Canis lupus familiaris: one gene and its partner. The main gene of each other region encodes a partner of the protein of the gene in region 2 in a complex. Links are inferred from orthologs where the notes say so. Each region holds a gene or a part of one and is shown on either strand. Other genes may lie near its edges.

Region 1 (9,108 bases), on a different chromosome or scaffold from region 2:
GATTTCCCTTTCTCTGCATCCTTGCTAACATCTTTGTTTCCTGTGTTGTTAATTTTAACCATTTTGACAGGTGTGCGGTAGTATTTCATTGTAGTTTTGATTGGTATTTCACTGATGATGAGTGATGTTGAGCATCTTTTCATGTGTCTGTTGGCCATCTATGTCGTCTTTGATGAAATGTATGAAATGTCTTTGATGTATGTCTATTCATGTCTTCTGCCCATTTCTTAACTGGATTATTAGTTTTTTGGGTGTTGAGTTTGATAAGTTCTTTTTTTTTTTAAGATTTTATTTATTTATTCATGAGAGACACACAGAGAGAGAGGCAGAGACACAGGCAGAGGGAGAAGCAGGCTCCATGCAGGGAGCCTGACATGGGACTCAATCCTGGGTCTCCAGTATCATGCCTTGGGCTGAAGGCGGCGCTAAACCACTGAGTCACCCGGGCTGCCCTGATAAATTCTAAATATATTTTGGATACTAATCCTTTATCAGATACATCATTTGCAAATATCTTCTCCTATTCCATAGGTTGCCTTTGGTTTCCTTTGCTGTGCAGAAGATTTTTATTTTGATGTCGTCCCAATAGTTCATTTTTGCTTTTGTTTCTCTTGCTGAGCTCAGGGACCCTACCTAGAAAAAGTTACTATAGCCAATGTTAAGATAAGTTACTGCCTGTGTTCTCTTCTAGGATTTTTAAGGTTTCAGTTCTCACATTTATGTCTTTCATTCATTTTGACTTTATTTTTGTGTATGGTATAAGAAAGTGGTCCAGTTTCATTTTTCTTCATGTTCCTGTCCAGTTTTCCCAGCACCATTTGTTGAAGAGACTATTTTTTTTTCTACTGGATATCTTTTCTGCTTTGTCAAAGATTAGTTGGCTTTATAGTTGTGAATCCATTTCTGGGTTTTCTATTCTATTCCATTTACCTACATGTCTGTTTTTGTGCTAGTACCATACTGATTACTACAGCTTGTAATATAACTTGAAGTCTGGAATTGTGATGTATCCAGCTTTCCTTTTTTTTTTTCTTTTTATGATTTTTTTATTTATTCATGAGCGAGAGGCAGAGACATAGGCAGAGGGAGAAGCAGGCTCTCCATGAGGAGCCTGATGCAGGACTCTATCCTGGATCCTGACCTGAGCCAAAGGCAGACACTCAACCACTGAGCCACGCAGGTGCCCCTGTTTTTCTTTTTTGTGGTTCCATACAAATTTTAGGATTGATTATTCTAACTCTGTGAAAAATGCTGGTAGTAATTTGATAAGGATTACATTAAACGTGTAGATTGTTTTGGGTGGTAGTAGACATTTTAACAATATTTGTTCTTCCAATCCATGAGCATGGAATATTTTTCCATTTCTTTGTGTCATCTTTAATTTCTTTCATACATGTTTATAGTTTTCAAAATACAGATCTGTTACCTCTTTGGTTAGGTTTATTTGTAGATATCTTATGATTTGGGGTATAATTATAAATGGTATTGATTCCTTAACTTCTCCTTCTGCTGCTTCGTTATTTTAGAGAAATGCAACAGATTTCTGAATGTTGATTTTGTATTCTGCAACTTTATTGAATTGGTGTATCAGTTGTAGCAGTTTTTTGGTTGAGTTTTTTGGATTTTCTCTACAGAGTATGATGTCATCTGCAAATATTAAAGGTTTTACTTCTTCCTTGTGGATTTGGATGTTGATTTTTATTTCTTTTTGTTGTCTGATTGCTGAGGCTTGGACTTCCTGTACTATGTTAAGTAACAGTGGTGAGAGTGGACATCCCTGTCTTGTTCCTGATTATAGAGGAAAGCTCTCAGTTTTTCCCCTTTGAGGATGACAGTAGTTGTGGGTTTTTTATATGTGGCTTTTATGATGTTGAGGTATGTTCCAGACTAGCTTTAGTTGTCCACATGGGCATGGAGACAGTCCTTCAAGGCCTCTGCTTATGCTGTTCCTTCTGCTTGGAGTTGTCTTTTCTCTTTCAGCTCCCTATATCCCCATCACCAACCACCTACTCTTTTAAAACTTACTTCTGAAAAAAACAAAACAAAACAAAACAAAACAAACTTCTGTGTCTCCTCTGCCAGAAATTCTCCCTGCCCTGATCCTCAATCCCAGGATAAACTAGATGACCTCTGTCTTTCATTTACCATATGTATTGTTGTGAATTCTTTCTCACTTTCTCTTCTCCACTAGACAGGGGAAGGAACTGATGTTTTTTAATCATTACAATTCTAGTACTTTCCAAGTGCCCTGCACTGTTCATTTGCTCCATGATTGAATGCCCTGTGCCTGCTCCCTGCAAGCTGAAAATATCTTTAAGTCAAAAAATGGTTTCCCATTCAAATTTTAAAGATTAAAAGAGTGAGATTATAAAGCAAATAATTTCATTCAGTGTTTAAACTGATATATATCTTCATATGTAATTATGTGTAATCATGATATGTACATTGTACCATTTTAAATCATGGTACATAGTTATCTAGATTGGAAATATTTAGATTCTTCAGAGTAAATACTAATTTCTGTGGGTACAGATAGATATGGTTGAAACATCTGATAAATGGTTAAAACCTGATGCTAAATGGTGCTAAAATAATGCCACAATTAGGAACCAATAAGTGCCAAAGAAATGTTAGTTTTATATATGGGGCTGGATATTCCTTTTTTTTTTTTTAATATTTTATTTATCCATTCATAGAGACACAGAGAGAGAGAGAGGCAGGGGCACAGGCAGAGTGAGAAGCAGGCTCCACGCAGGGAGCCCGATGCGGGACTCGATCCAGGGTCCCCTGGATCAAACCCCGGGCTGCAGGCGGCGCCAAACCGCTGCACCACCGGGGCTGCCCTGGATATGCCTTTTTTTAAACCATTAATATATAGTTAAAAATTCCCAACCACAGATGAGATCAGTAGTTAGTTTCAGAGTTGAGTAATAGAGTAATACATTTTTTAAAAGTAATTTTCACAACTTTTAGAGCGAAGTTGACTTTTTTTTAGAGAGTAATAGAGTGTGCACAGGTTTGGGTGGTAGAGGGGAGGAGCACAGGAGAGGGAGAGAGAGAGAATCTTAAGGAGGCTCCATCCCAATGCAAAAAGCCCCACAACTGGACAGAGTCCAACACGGGGTTGGATCTCACAACCCTGAGATCATGACCTGAGCCAAATTCAAGTGGTGGACGCTTAAGCAACTGAGTCACCCAGGTGCTCCTAGAGAAATAGTTGACTTTTAAGTTAAAAGAATAAGAGTTGCTAATAAATAGTGCAGAAAACAGAAATGTCTTTCTATTTGATGGAATGATTAGAACACAAATTATACCCTTTTACATCAGAATATTACAGCTGGTGTTTCTGAAATATTCTCTTTACATACTTTATTTTCCACTGTAACCAGTTTTATTTTAAAAATAGCAGTTTGAAAGGTAGTGTTCATTACATTGAACAGGCAGGGTTGAGTTTGTATTTAGGATTGATACCTTAAGATAAGCATTTTGTTTTGTAATGTTGTTTCAGCCATTTTATTTTTATTTATTTATTTATTTATTTTATTTTTTTTATTTATTCATGATAGGCACACAGTGAGAGAGAGAGAGGCAGACACAGGCAGAGGGAGAAGCAGGCTCCATGCACCGGGAGCCTGATGTGGGATTCGATCCCGGATCTCCGGGATCGCGCCCTGGGCCAAAGGCAGGCGCCAAACTGCTGCGCCACCCAGGGATCCCTGTTTCAGCCATTTTAATAGAAGTACTTTTGTTTTTATCAATGGCCTATTTCAGTTAAAAGTTTTTTTTAACAATCACATGACAAATTATGTAATATGCGGTTTACTTTTCTTACAATTGTTTATAAAAAAACAAGTTTAATGGAAATTTTAGGCTGTAGAAGCGATCTTTATCAACTGTGATTATAAACTAGTTTTTAGCAAAGATTTTAGTTTATGGTGAGGTGAATGTTTTGAAAATTTATCGTATAAACAAATTTATTAAAAACAATAGGCTTTAGTTTTCATTTTAACATAAACATACTAAATAATTTCTATGCAAACAGGATGTTTTTATGTCCAATTTCCAAATGGCTTATATCTGGATATAATTGAACAATCAACTATTAATGTAAATTATTGTCCAGTGAAATGGTGTAAAGTGAACAAGGGCTGAATTAAAATGAAAAAAAATCTTAGGTTCTAGAAGGAGGCCATCTCCTTTTCTTTTTTCTTTTCTATCACTATGCTTTTTTTTTTTTTTAAGATTTTATTTATTTATTCATGACAGACACAGAGAGAGAGAGAGAGAGAGGCAGAGACACAGGCAGAGGGAGAAGCAAGCTCCATGCAGGGAGCCTGACGTGGGACTCAATCCCGGGTCTCCAGGATCACACCCTGGGCTGAAGGCGGCACTAAACCGCTAAGCCACCTGGGCTGCCCTCACTATGCTTTTTTGATTCCCTCTCCTCCAACCCCAGTTCTTCAAGACTCTTAAAAAGTGTCCTAGGAAATAATGTTGATGCTTACAATAAATCAGAAATAGTGAGACTTTGAAAGAATCAAAGAATTTTCACCTCCTCCCACCTCCCTGCGTGCCCATGCCCAAAAAACATAACTATTTTTCTTATGTTTGGCTGCTATTCAGAATATCTTTTCTCTTTTTTATAGTGATGTTGAACCCGAATGGCTGGACAATGTGCAGAAAAATGGAGAATTATTTTATTTGGAATTGAGTGAAGATGAAGAAGAAAGCCTCCTTCCTGAGACTCCTACTGTGAACCATGTCCGGTTCAGTGAAAATGAAATTATAATTGAAGAAGATTACAAAGAAGGAAAAAAGTATGAACCTAAGCTGAAGCGGTTTACCAAAATTTTAAAAAGTAAAAGTCTTTTACCCAAGCGCTACAATAAAAAAAATAGCAATGACAATGAGCCAGTGTCCATTCTAAAGCATCAGTCCAACCCAAAAACAGGAGTTGTTGTCCAACAGCGGTATAAAGATGTGAATATTTATGTAAACCCCAAAAAGTTAACTGTAACCAAAGCCAAAGAGCAGCTCAAGCTTCTGGAAGTACTGGTTGGGATTATTCATCAGACTAAGTGGAGCTGGAAAAAAAGTGGGAAACAGGGCATTGGAGAGAGACTTGTGGTCCATGGCCTGCTACCAGGAGGATCTGCTATGAAGAGTGGTCAGATATTAATTGGTAAGTGTTGCTGGTAAATATCAGTTCTTGTGTGCAGAGATTCATGATTAATGATGTTTTGTGAGACATGATCAAAACAGAATTCTATCCAAAGTCTCAACAGATTAAGGACTGCTTGGTGATATTTGGGATAATAGTGAAATTGTTAAGCATGGTGTACTTCAAGGAAGGCCATGCTGTTCTTAAATAAGGTTTTTGGTAAGTTGAGGCGTGTGCCTCGTTTAAGCCAAGGAATAGCTTAACTAATTTTTGAGTTTTGAATTATATAATTATATTTCATCTTGGTTATATTTGCTGACAAGAGAAAGAAAATAAGCTAATTTTACAATGATGATTTAGATTTGAATGACCTATATCCAACAGCATGATATAAAAATATGTAATTTATGAATAAAAATACTTTTAAATTGTATGTTTGCACTTGAGTACACTAAATTCTTGGAGTGGTTTTAAGCTGTTTCATTTGGCATATTTAGCAACAGTGATGTTATACATAAATTTCCTTTTAAGGGTGCTTGTCATAAAACATTTCATCAATTTTAAGGGGAAAAAAATCCAAAAGTCATTCTGAATATATATTAAGGTGAGCATTTTGTATTGCTAATACATTTTTAGCGTTGGATATAATGCTTGAGTCATAGCAACTTTATTACTTAGATAAAGCTGTATTAGTCAAATGTGAAAATATATTGTTAATGAAACTTAAGTTATTAACAGATTTAAAAACTCATGGTCTTTTAAGTTGACTCAGCCTATAAGATTTAGATAAACTGGGACACCTGGGTGGCTCAGCGGTTGAGTGTCTGCCTTGGGCCCAGGGTGTGATCCTGGGGTCCCGGGATCGAGTCCCACATTGGGCTCCCTGCGGGAAGCCTGCTTCTCTCTCTGCCTGTATCTCTGCCTCTCTCTCTCTCTCTGTGTCTCTCATGAATAAATTTTTAAAAATCTTAAAAAAAATTAGATAAACTTTTATAGCTACTTTAGAAACATTTAAAAATATTTCTTAGTCTAAATTGCATTTGTTCATTGATTCAATGAAACTTTTGAACATTTGCTAAGTGTCAGGAATACAAAGATTACTCTAAGGATCCACTTACACTTCTTAAGAAGCTCAGACTGTGATGGAAGAGATGGGTCAGAAAGAGGCAGACTGGGGCCTGGATGGCTCAGTCAGTTAAGCATCTGCCTTCGGCTCAGGTCATGATCTCAGAGTCCTGGGATAGAGCTCCACGTGGGGCTCTCTGCTCTGTGGGGAGCCTGCTTTTTCCCCTTCCTCTGCTTCTCCCCCTGCAGGTGCTTGCTCTCTCTTTCTCTGTCAAATAAATAAAATCTTTAAAAAAAAAAAAGAAGTAGGTAGACAGTTTCACATAGTATGATAAGTGCAGTGATAGGGGTTTACAAGGGCGAAATCACATAGGAAGGACATCTATGCAGTGGGTGTTCCAGATGGTTGCAACAAGATCTCCCTATTCCTTTCTTACAACGTCATGTTGATACTCCTTCCATGAAGAGTTAAGTTTTTGGGTCCTCCCCTCCCTACCCCTGTGGGCCTGGACTACAGCTTAACTAGTACTATGTGATCTCAGGGGTGGAATCATAAGAGGTGATGCAGCTTCTGCTTAGTATTCTTGGAGTCCAGTTTTCATTGTGTGAGCAAGGGTGGTCCACATGAAGAGGCCACGAGTAGTATTCCAGCTAATCACCCCAACAGAGGTCTCAGCCGCCCTGCAGCATCAATTAGTTACCACACATGAGTGAAGAAGGCTTCCAGATAATTCCAACCCCAACCACCATCTGACTGCAACTACATGAGGAACCCTGAGTGAGAACCTCCGCTAAGCCCAGTCAGCCCCAGAACCAAGAAGGATAATAGGTGGTGGTGGTTGTTTTAAATGCCTAAGTTTTGGGGGATCCCTGGGTGGCTCAGCGGTTTGGTGCCTGACTTTGGCCCAGGGCACAATCCTGGAGTCCCGGGATCGAATCCCACGTCGGGCTTCCGGCATGGAGCCTGCTTCTCCCTCCCCTCCGCCTGTGTCTCTGCCTCACTCTCTCTCTATGTCTATCATAAATAAATAAATCTTAAAAATAAATAAATTAATTAATTAATTAATTAATTAATAAATACCTAAGTTTTGTGGTCATTTGTTATGCAGTAACAGATAGCTAATGCATGCTTACGTTCTCTCAGGTGCTCAACTTCCTCTTTTGTAAAATGTCTCTAAGGTTTATTCTTTGTTCTTTCAGAGGATGCCAGAATTCATGCTTATGAAATCTTGCCTGGTTGTTGCCAACCACCATAATTTTAGGATACCACAAGATGGGAAACGCCTATATTTATCTGGGGCCTCTGTTCAGGACCTAATTGGACTGATTTGTAGACAAATCTCTAAAATTCTTTTTGCCCATTTCTCTTGAACCCTAGTGGAGAGGTGGTTATGATCAGTGAACGTCCTATTCCATGTTTACTTTCCCCTGATCCTCACTCCAGTCTGCTGAATCCTCTAGGAATGACGCTTTTGTCTTCTCATACCATCTGTGTGGGAGGAAAGAGAATGAACTATAGAGAGGGAGAGACTACTATATAGTCCTGTTGATTATATTTAAAATAATTTAAAGATACACATGATGCTCAGAGTATACTTCTTGGCCTGAATGTAGTTACATAAATATGTGCATTTTTTGATAATTTACTGTTGTACTACTACAGTTTGTGCACTTTTCTGCATGTGTATTGAGTAGCAATAAAAAGGCAAAAAAAATGAAGTTCATCATTTCAGTTTCATAATGGAAGAGTTTATGATTTACCAATATGTAAAAAAAATTGTCAGAATAAAATGATTATTTCATCCTTGATGCATAGCAAAAGGTTTGGTTGATAAATAAGCCCTCAAAAACAGTTATTGAATAAATGTACATACTATGTAGAAAAATAGGGGAAAATGATTAGAAGTAAATATAAATGCAGCAAAATGCTAGTAGAGTTGGGTTTGTGTGGAGACATTATAAATGTTTTTTTCTTTTTTCAGATGTTTAATTTTATGGTTATGTTGTATATTTTTAAAGTCACATACTTTGGGAATAAATAATGGACAATTAAAATGTCATGGTGACTTTGATAATCCCACAGGATGGAATTCTCTCATTTGTTTCTTTCATTGTTTCATTTCACACTGAATTCTGTGGTTGAACTGTGAGGTAACCCCATATGCAGGAGGATCTTGAAAACTTTGTCCTGGTAATGCAGTATGCTGGGGTGACTTCTGCCATTGTCTTAGCTGGAGAATGACCCTCCTTTGACTAAAGTGTGTTGGCCAACACAGTGAGACTGGTGACTGTTTTCATTCTTTCCCTTTCATGACAGTAGAACTCATGTTCTATTCTGATTCTTCTTTTACTGGGATTCTGGGGGGTTTGCTGCATTTTCTGGTGCCATTTTTGCAGTTCTTTCTGCTGACTTAACTCCTTATTTTTTATTTCTGAGTTTTTCTTAAAGTTTGACCGCTGAGGGGCACTAGGGTGGCTCAGTCAGTTAAATATCTGACTTTTGATTTTGGCTCAGGTCATGATCTCAGGGTTGTGAGTTCAAGCCCCGTGTTGGGCTCCATGCTGGGTGTGGAGCCTGCTTGAGATTCTCTTTCTCCCTCTGCCCCTCCCTGCTCCTTCCCACCCCCATGCACGTGAATGCAGGTGCTCTCTCTCTTTCAAATAAATAAATCTTAAAAAAAAAAAAAAGTTTGACAGCTAATTGCTCCTTGACTACGAGTAGCCAGTCTGTATCCCTAAACCAAAGCAAATCCTCTTTTTACCTGCATCCTAGAAATTATGTATCACCTTGGTGATTTTTTTTTCATCAAGATGACCCAGTTTTGCTAGTTTAAGTAGGTGTTTTTTAAGGATTGGAAAGGATAGGGTTAAAGAAATCACAC
Region 2 (9,834 bases):
GGGTAGCTAAGTGTATTTCACATAAAGTATGTACAAAGGAAAGAGGAGCTAGAGAATGTGGCATGTCTCATGGGACTCTAGAACTTCAGTGTTCAGAGATGAAGCCAGAGGTGTGAGCAAGGACTATTTCATGCATGGTCTTAGGTATTATTGGAATTTCATCCTTAGTGCGATGGAAAGTCATTAAGGCTTTTCAGAGAAATGACATGATTCTTGTTGCTGTTTGGAAGGGTTTTGCTGACAGAAGGAAGAGTGGGTTGGGAGAAGTTAGATTAGAGACAAGGATATAAAGTGTAAGGACATTCTGGGTAATTGGTTGAGATGTGTTTGAGCCATAAACTATTTTGGTAGCAGTAGAGATGAAAAGAACTAGATGAATTTATGAAATTTTAACTAGTAACAGCAACAGAGTTGGTAATTGATAAGATGTGGGGTATGTGGAAGAAATAAATAGTAGTAAAGGTAACACTCAAGTTTCTAACTTAAGTAACTAGGTGGATAGTGCTTCCATTTAATGTGATTGGGATCATGGAAGGATTCAGAAAAGGAAGAATATGGATTCAGTTTTATAATGGTGAACCTCAAGTTAATGTGGAAGATGGGTAATAGGAGGTGGATATATAAACAAGCTGCTCAGGAGAGAAATGAGGGCTGGTGACTAAAAGTCATCAGCATGTAGGTAGTATTTGGAATAGATGAGGAGTTTTGCAGGGAGGGTATAAAGAGATCTCGGAGGACTCTTGAGTAGGATCCTGAGGAATCCAATATTTAAGAGATGGACAGAGGAAGAACCAGTGAAAAATACTGAGAAGCAGCAATTGGAGAGAGGTAGGTTGAAAATGGGGAGAGTGCTGGGTCACTGAAACCAATGGATGAAAGTGATTAAAAAGGTTATCAGGCAGTGAGAGTAGAAATATAATGGTAGAAAATGCACCCTATATGGGAAATTCAGATGAAGTGCTGTGTGATTTCAGATGAAGGAAAGACTCTCTGGCTAGGGAACAGGAATGCTTCATGGAAGAGGTTGCACCTGAAAAGCACATTTAAAGAAACTCCTGAATGGCAGGGAATATATTCCAGGTAAAGCGGCAACATAGTAACAGGTAGGAGAGTATGAGGCTTTAGAAGTAACAAGTCGTATGTTATTTAGCTACAGTTCTAGGGTTGGTGTTAGAGGTAGTACTAGAAAGGTAATGGGGAAATGAATATGAAGGCCATGATTGACATGCTGAAAGCTCTATGCTCTTGGCAATAGGAAGCCATAGGAGGATTTTAATGAAATCAGAATGATTTCATTCCTTTTAAGACTGTAGCATACTTCATTGTATAGATATATCACATTTTGTTTATCCATTCATCAACAGTATATTCTTTAGGGATACATATATAGGTAGTGATATATTTTGGGTAAAGGAAAGTAACCCAAAATTCAGGGTGCAGGTCACGTCTGGAGGAGAGAATGGGAGGGATGTGACTTGGGGAGGGGGTGCGAGTGTTTTACGGTACTGGTAGTGTTCTGTTTCTTTTCTATTCTTTTTTTTTTTTTTTTTTCATGAGAGACAGAGAGAGAGAGGCAGAGACACAGGCAGAGGGAGAAGCAGACTCCATGCAGGGATCTCGATGTGGGACTCGATCCCGAGTCTCCAGGATCACGCCCTGGGCTGAAGGCGGCGCTAAACTGCTGAGCCACCTGGGCTGCCCTAGTGTTCTGTTTCTTAAACTGAATGGCGAGTAAAGGATATTCATTTTATTCGTTAAATAGCTTATATGTTTTATACTTTAGTATGTATATTTCACAATTAAAAAAAATTAAAGTGATCATGGCAGTACTGTAATTTTCAGTGTCTTGTAAATAGAATGATATAAGATTCGTTATCTGATAAGATTAATCTATCAGTAGGTTAGGTTGGGGCAAAAAGAGGTTCTTTGGAGAGATTACTGAAATAGTCCAGAAAAGGAGTACAGGGCCAGAACCAAATCAAACTGTAGCACTGGAGAAGATTAATATAAATCAGGAAATTAATATAAATCAGGCAAAGAAATCAAGAGTATTTGTGAACTGGTGGGACAGGGTGGAGTGGAGGTTGTTCATTTTCAGTGTGCTTTCTTTCCTTTTTCTCACAGTGACTTTATTATCTAAAGTCACTTGTATTGAGCCTCCCCCTATTCCCTTGGTCTTACTCAACAGAAGACCTCTCTTCATTCTTCATTAGGAAAAAAAATAAGTTATCAAGCTTTACACTATTAAGTAAAAGTGTTTTACTTTTTTGGTCCCTACCTCACATAAAAGAAGCATGAAGAGTCTGAGATTTTACCTTACTTGCAGTCTACTAAGTTAGCCAGTTTCATGGAAGCTGGTAGAAAACATGAAATTCCTGGGTCAGAGTGAAGGTTAGTTTTTATTCATAGCAATAGAGTGAAGTATTAGCATTTTTTTTCTAATCCCCAGTTTCTTTAGTGTGACATAAAGAGTGCCAGATGATACCTGTACGTGCAGTGGGTTGTATTACAGAAGAGCTTAGGGAACCTAAACTTTTTGTAATGGGAAGTAAGCATGCCTGCCCTTTGCTCCATAAGAAACATTACCTCTATTTTCCAGGGCTATTTGTTATCCTTGAAGAGATCGTCTAGAACAAAGGGCCCTCAGTACCTCTTTTGCAGAAACCTGAGAGATTTATGGACAATTGTCTCCCAACACCTCAGAACATCTTAATATTTATCCTTCTTTCATTTCTATCAATCTCAGAAATATATCATTTCTTTTCATAGCTAACACTTCAACTTTGATTTTTATCCTCTTCTCTCTTGACTTCTGAGGTCTTATATCATGGCTATGTCTTCTCAGATCTTTATCAAATATTTATTGAATATTATGATACAGTGTGAGATGTTACAAAGCAGCTTTATGTAGCACTTACGTTAGTTAAGGTACTCAGATAAGTAAAAGAAATATTGAAGATTATCTTAGAATAGGATAAACTCGGTAAAGTTAAAATAAAAAAGAATGACGTGGAAGAAACTGGGATTGGTCCTATTTTACATAGTGATCATTGCAGAGACTTTTAGGAAGAAGTGACCTATGCACAGAGATCTGAATTATGAGAATCAGATTTCCACATAAAAGAAGAGCACAAAAACTCATAGGAATAAGATTGATATTTTTTGAAAAACAAAAAGAAAGCCCATGTTTCTGGATGGTAGTGAGCTAAGGAGGACAGTGGTAAATGATGAACTTAGATAGGTCCAGATTACTAGATTCAGATGACAAGACATTTGAATTTTATTTGGTCTATAACCTTTGTTAGTCCACTATATCTTTCTTTTAAATTATAGATATTTTATGGGCCTTTTCCTGTTCTAAATAACTTTTTGAAGAGATGCCATTACTTCCCATTCTTTTCCAAATTCTATAGAACCAAAGAATTAAAAGATAAATTCTCAACACTGTTGGAAGACGAAATGGTGCCATCAGGTATTGTGAGGAATTGACAGCCTGAAGGCTGGAAAATGACAGCCCAGAATGGCACAGAGAACAACTGTGCATGAAAGGAAAGCCTCAAAACTTTCAAGTTCTTGGTAATGGGGGTAATCATTTCAAGGTATGTGCCTTAAATAGGAAGACAGTATTTCTCCTTGCCCAGTTCTTTCTCCTCAAATCATTCACAACACATGCATTCTCTATTCTTTCCTCTCTCCCTTTCTCTCTCTGACACACGCACACAAACCCCCCCCCACACACACACATACATACACACACATGCACATACTAAGGATAGCATTTGTCTATTTCTGAAATTCAAAACCATTTGTAAGGTAAACTACCTACCTGAGGAAGGCTTCCACTGTGGCTGTAGGGACATGAGAAAAGAGTAGAACGTGAAGTAACTTGGGAGGACTTATCTATGTTACAGAAGCGTACAGGAGGAAAAATGAAAGACAGTCCTGCCCAGGGGGAAATATGTTAGAGTACTCACAATCAGAGTAAAACTGTTTTCCTCTGTTTTTGTCACTTGGAGCCTTCTCAGCTTACCCACACATCTTAATGTGGCTCTGGCCACTTAATATACCAGCAGTCAGCCTTCCTGTATAGGAAAGAGACTGAATGGGGGAAATATCTGTATGGCTATAGAGAAAACCTGGGCCAGCTGTGTGTATACTCATCAACTTAGATTTTTGTTCATAAATATGAATGGACAGCCAAGGATCATCATCAGACACTTAAGAAAACCAATGCAGGAAAAGAAGAGCGAAGATGAACAAACCACTGATTTGGATGAAACATTTAATTCAAAGAACAGAAGAACATACAAAATATATTCTAACCAATAATTTTTGAGAGATTCCAGAAGATAATGGAACAATTCAAAAGAAGCAATGAGCAAATGATCTTTGAAATTAAACATATGATTTAAGGTTTAAAAAAATACAGGGAAGGCCCCTGGGTGGCTCGCTTAATTAAGGGTCTGCTTTCAGCTCAGATCATGGTCCCAGGGTTCTAGGATTGAGCCCTGCATTGGTCTCCCTGCTTATTGAGGAGACTGCTTCTGCTTGTGCTCTCTCTGGCTCATGCTCTGTCTCTCTTAAATAAATAAAATCTTCAAAAAGACGAATAATAAATAAAATAGAGGTATTTGGTTCAGTTAGTAGAGCATGCAACTCTTGATCTCAGGGTTGTGAGTTTAAGCCCTACATTGGGTGTGGAGCCTACTTAAAATTTAAAAAAATCTATTTTAATATTAATATGTTATAATAAAATATAAAATTAAATTAAAAATAATTTAAAAATTATATATCATTGACTTTTGAACAGTGTGAGGACTAGGCATGCCGACCTCCTGCACAGTTGAAAATCTTTTTTTTTTAAAGATTTATTTATTTATTTATTCATGATAGAGAGAGAGAGAGAGAGGCAGAGACACAGGAGGAGGGAGAAGCAGGCTCCATGCTGGGAGCCCGACGTGGGACTCTATCCCGGGACTCCAGGATCGTGCCCTAGGCCAAAGGCAGGCGCTAAACTGCTGAGCCACCCAGGGATCCCACAGTTGAAAATCTGAGTATAACTTTTGACTCTCCTTGAAACTTAATTACTAATAGCCTGTTGTTGACTGGAAACCTTACTGATAACACACACTGTTGATTAACACATATTTTATATGCTATGTATATTACATGTATGTATATGTTCTTACAGTAAAGTAAGCTAGAGAGAAAATATATTAAAATTGTAAGGAAGAGAAAATATATTCACAGTACTGTACTGTGTTTATTGAAAAGTCTGGTATACGTGGACCTGAGTAGTTCAAACCTGTGTTGTTCAAGAGTATGTCTTCTCTATATTAGAAGAGCAAAACAATGTAATAGATCTAACTACAGACTGAAATAGTAATCTGGAAGATAAAATCAAAGAAATATTAGAGTTAAAAGACAAAATGTGGGAGAGAAGCTAAGCCATGGAAGGTCAATCCAGACAATGCATTGTAACTAGAAATTGAGAAATAAAGGTTGTCCCCCCGCCCCCCATATGTAGCCATGTGGCCTTAGGGGACTGTTGGTATTTATGATTGCGATGGGCCTCTGGACCTTGTTTCAACCAGACTCTCTATTTTTACAAGTTTTATATGTTAGAGTTAGTGTAGTATTTTATTGAAGGAAAAAGTGGTCTACCAGGAAAAAAATGTCTGAAAATTAGTGACATATGGGATAAAGCTCAGATTTGCTGTGTTTTATTCAAAGGTCTTCACAGTTTTACCACAACTTGTCTTTCTAGGGGGAGTGAAAGAAGATTACATAGAAAGGATAGGGGCCAACTCACATAGGGGTATGTAAGGCAATATAAAGACTTTAAGACCTATGGAATGAGAAGTTTTTGAAGAGATTCAGACAAATAAAATAGTCTAATTTTTGTATATTTAAAAAATTTAAATTAGCTATTATATACTATGCATTATATATTAAAATTCTGAAAGTATTTTATATTTCTATGGGAAATGGATTATGGCTCAAAAGTTGAAATGCGGGGCCAGTCAGAGGCATTAAATGCTCCAGGCAAGATAAACTGGTGTTCTAAACTGAAGAGGTAATAATTGGGATACAAAGAAGATTTATATATTCTAAAATATATTAGGATATGTTTTAGAAGAAGGTGAGCCAAGGGGCAGCCTGGGTGGCACAGTCCATTAAGCCTCTGATTCTTGGTTTTGGCTCAGGTCATGATCTTGAATCATGAGCTTGAGCACCGGGTCAGTCTCTGTGCTCGGCACAGAGTCTGCTTGAGAGTGTCTCTCTCCCTCTTCTCTTACACCTCCTGTTTGTGTTCTCTCTCTCTCTCTCTCAAATAAATAATAAAATAAAAATTAAAAAAAAAAAAAAAGCTGAGCCAAGAAGGGAAAAGTTAACATGAAGGTGGTGAATGATAGTAAGAGAGATTTGAAAGAGTGGGGGGTTTTTTTTCCTTTCTCCTCTCTTCCTTTCTCCCTCCTCTGTCACCTTTTCCCCCAGCCTCTCCCTACCTTTTAGTAAAACAGAGAATATTTCTTTTGTAGTCATAATGTACTCCATTTTGTTGGGAAAGGAAAGGAGTTGGTGGTAAGACTGGAAAGGTTGCCCACATTCAAAATGAATTGCTTATATATTTAATAAAAGGATAATCAGAACTTTAAAAAAATAAACATTTGTTATCCTCATAGTTTATCTGTATCAGATATTTAACAATGGCTTAGATAGGCAGTTCTGGCTCAGGATCTCTCAAGAGAGTGCAGTGATCTGATGGCTGGGCTGGAGCTGGTGGATCTAAGTCCCGGGAGGCATATGGTTAGCAAGGGGGTACTGGTTGTTGCCAGGGGGCCAGCTCTCCCTCCCCAAAGTGTTCTTCTTCATGGGCTGTTTGAATATCTTCACGGCATGGTTCTGGCTGTGCCCTCTCCCCCTGGCCTCGGGGTGACAGGCAGCTGCAGAGGAAGGTTCTGAGCCTCATGGGCAGCTGTGGCACCTGGAACATGGGGCAGAGCACTCAGAACTTTTTAAAAAATGATTTTAAATACCCTACAATGAAAGAAGCATGTACTGACAAAAATGATGGACTTGGGGATTAAAGAAATTTGGAAAATAGGAAAATACTACCTCATATGGTTGTTCTTAAGGTCTAACTAAGAAAATGCATATAAAACACCATACAGTAGACACTCTGGCTGAAAAGAAAACTTCTTTCTTCTTGATCAAACATAAGATAAGTTACTTTAAAACCTTAGAGATGTTTCAAACTTGTTGAAGTTTAAAAACAATACAATTTCTAAGGGAAAATTATACATATTTCCTTATTAGCATAATCACTGATTTACATGTAGGAGGTTAACAGTGCAAATTTAGTTTTCAGGAATTGACCATTGCTTTATAAGAGTATTAAACCTTTTATTGGGGCAGCCCTTGGTGGTGCAGCAGTTTAGCGCTGCCTGCAGCCCGGGGTGTGATCCTGGAGGCCCAGGATCAAGTCCCACATCGGGCTCCCTGCATGAAGCCTGCTTCTGTCTCTGCCTCTCTCTCTCTATCTCTCTCTCTTTGTGTCTGTCATGAATAAATAAGTAAAACTCATTTAAAAATTTAAAAAAATAAACCTTTTATTGAATATCTTTAATTTAAAATGTTTTTTGAGTACGCCACATATTGAATAATTTGTAACAAAGTCATGCCATAAAACTGATGTTTGAAATAACTCATATAAGTGTACATTGGAATATTTATGGAAGGGGATGCATAGTTAAACCAGTGTTCATGCCAAATCCACCATGCACTCATATGTATTGAGCTATACTGTTAAAAAATATTTTGTAATTAAAATATGTATACCACCAAATTTTCTTTGTTAGAAAATAACTGACATATAATATTTACTAACTACTGAGAAAATAGCAAACTCTGCTTTGAATACCTAGACACCTTCTCATTGGCTGGCACCATCTGTGACAAATTCTGAACTGTACTGTTTACAGACACACAGCTGCAGTCTGAGTTGGCACCAAAACCAAGTATTGACGCTGTGCTCTTTGCAGCCCTAGCCCTGTCTAATTCCTCTGGAAGGGAGGAGATGGGAGAAGAGGTTGCAAATGCAGGAGTGGTGAGAGTAATTGATAGTTTATGTCTCTTCTCTCTTAAGAAATAAACCCTCCCCTTGTCTCGAAACTCCTTTAGCTACCACTCTTTTTCACCATCCACATTTATGGCTTCAACTACATAATTGGCTCCTAATATTTTTATTTTTATTCTAGAACTCATTCCTGAGCTCCATTGCTAGAGTTGGGTGTTTAATGTCTACCTAATGCTTTAAGTTAGCTTAACAGTCTACAGAATATTCATCTTCTAATAATAAATGCTAACTGTGGGCAGCTCGGCAGTTTTGCACCTATTTTTAAATGCCAGATGACATCATGGAATGTTGCAAAGTCAAAGTGGTGAATTATCCCCAAAAATCCTAGTTGTATTTCTAATAGAAAATATTCTTTCATGGAGAGTGCCTGTTGAAGTAGTGTGATTAGCTGCTATTACAGTGGTTAAACAGACCAATTGAATCAGAATAAAGGATGCCTACCAAGACACTAAAGGCAGGAGTGAGTGAAGCACCAGAGATGAAGCATTTATTCAGTGTTCATTGTTTTTTCCATCTGCCTGTGTGTTCTGAATAAACTTAGGAAGAGGTGGGAAACTTTTTAAGTCAAAATGGCACGCATACATAGTATAGAAGGTCAGAGTTCCATAAGGTTCATCACTAACAATGCATTTGCAATGCCATTTGCATTTCTCAGCACTCTCCTTGGCAACTACTTCCAATTTTTTAGGTATTTTTTCCGATGTTACCTGAATGTTTGTAAGCAACATGCATACTTATTCCTTCATTTTGAAAATGTTAGTTTTGAACATACTAACTTCTTACTTTGGGAGAGAACATAACCTCCACCTTAGCACTTATCCCCTCCCATACATACTTCTCCCCATTCTAGCACAGATATAATGTAGTGTTTGGTTAATCCAAATTATGTGTCTACAGTATTCTAAGCATATATAATCAAGATTTAGCAATGTGACATACTAAGTTTATATTTTTCTTGTATAATTTTTTGGATTTTTTCTGCAGTTAATAATTGCCTTACTTTTCAGATTTGCTTGTTTTTTATAGACCTATTATTTCCTCATCCCCAACTTCCCCAGTTAGAAGTGCAAATCTTTTAGTAAATCTGTATGCATCAGGTAATCTCATACTTTTATCTTTTCTTAGCAATATTCTTCTTGGAGTTTGCTATCTTCCTTTGGTCTGCCTGAGATACAGTTATCCTTGTATTTCCCTTTATTGCTATTCTGGAAATCCTTTTTCCTTGTTCTTGTGTTGTATCCTTTATTTCCTGGATCCCATATTGTCCTCTTTCTTGGCTTATTGTATCCTTTCGTGGGACACATCTTCCAGTAATTTACTGTAAAAAAAAATGCACAATAATTAATTTTTGAGACTTTGCCTCTTTGAACATCTTTATTCTAATCTCATACTGATGCAAGAGTTTGACTATGTATAGAATTATAGGTAGGAAATAATTTTCCTTCAGAAATTGAAAGCAGTAGTACTCCTTTGTCTTCTAGCTTCCAGTGTTGCTATTGAGAAGTCTGATGTTTTGATCCTTTATAAGTGACCTGTTTTTGTCACTGTCTTTTTTCTTCTCTGGAAACCTAAGATTTTAGTTTATTTTCAGTGTTTTGAGATTTCTTAATGATGTGTCTGGGTGGGGGTGTGAGTCTTTTGTAAATCATTGTGTTAAGTACTTGACAATTTCTTTCAACTTAGTAGCTCATGTA

The links.
Region 1: the proteins of WDPCP (region 2) and INTU are in contact, whole or in part, in a cryo-EM structure (PDB 7Q3E), measured with the Mus musculus proteins. The link is inferred for Canis lupus familiaris from reciprocal best matches to the Homo sapiens genes WDPCP and INTU. Residues at the interface, in NP_663400.2 of Mus musculus: Phe3, Cys4, Leu5, Ile24, Leu51, Ser54, Arg55, Asp56, Lys93, Leu385, Ala386, Glu387, Asp388, Tyr389, Ile427, Lys446, Leu447, Gly448, Ile449, Leu450, Thr451, Arg452, Gly453, Leu455, Leu462, Gln463, Ile465, His466, Tyr467, Gln487; in NP_780724.3 of Mus musculus: Val481, Gln484, Val488, Asp491, Ser495, Asp496, Glu498, Ala499, Ala500, Asp501, Ser506, Glu507, Asp508, Arg513, Arg514, Thr517, Ser532, His533, Leu534, Pro535, His574, Tyr593, Glu610, Gly613, Cys614, Ala615, Ser616, Lys617, Ser653, Pro654.

The regions. Positions count from the first base shown.
Region 1 is NC_049240.1:14,064,692-14,073,799, reverse strand, and holds part of INTU (protein inturned), read left to right. Parts: intron 1-4,646; coding exon 4,647-5,182; intron 5,183-9,108. UniProt on the Homo sapiens protein: Plays a key role in ciliogenesis and embryonic development.
Region 2 is NC_049231.1:64,518,861-64,528,694, reverse strand, and holds the start of WDPCP (WD repeat-containing and planar cell polarity effector protein fritz homolog), read left to right. Parts: upstream 1-3,462; 5' UTR 3,463-3,542; coding exon 3,543-3,599; intron 3,600-9,834. UniProt on the Homo sapiens protein: Probable effector of the planar cell polarity signaling pathway which regulates the septin cytoskeleton in both ciliogenesis and collective cell movements.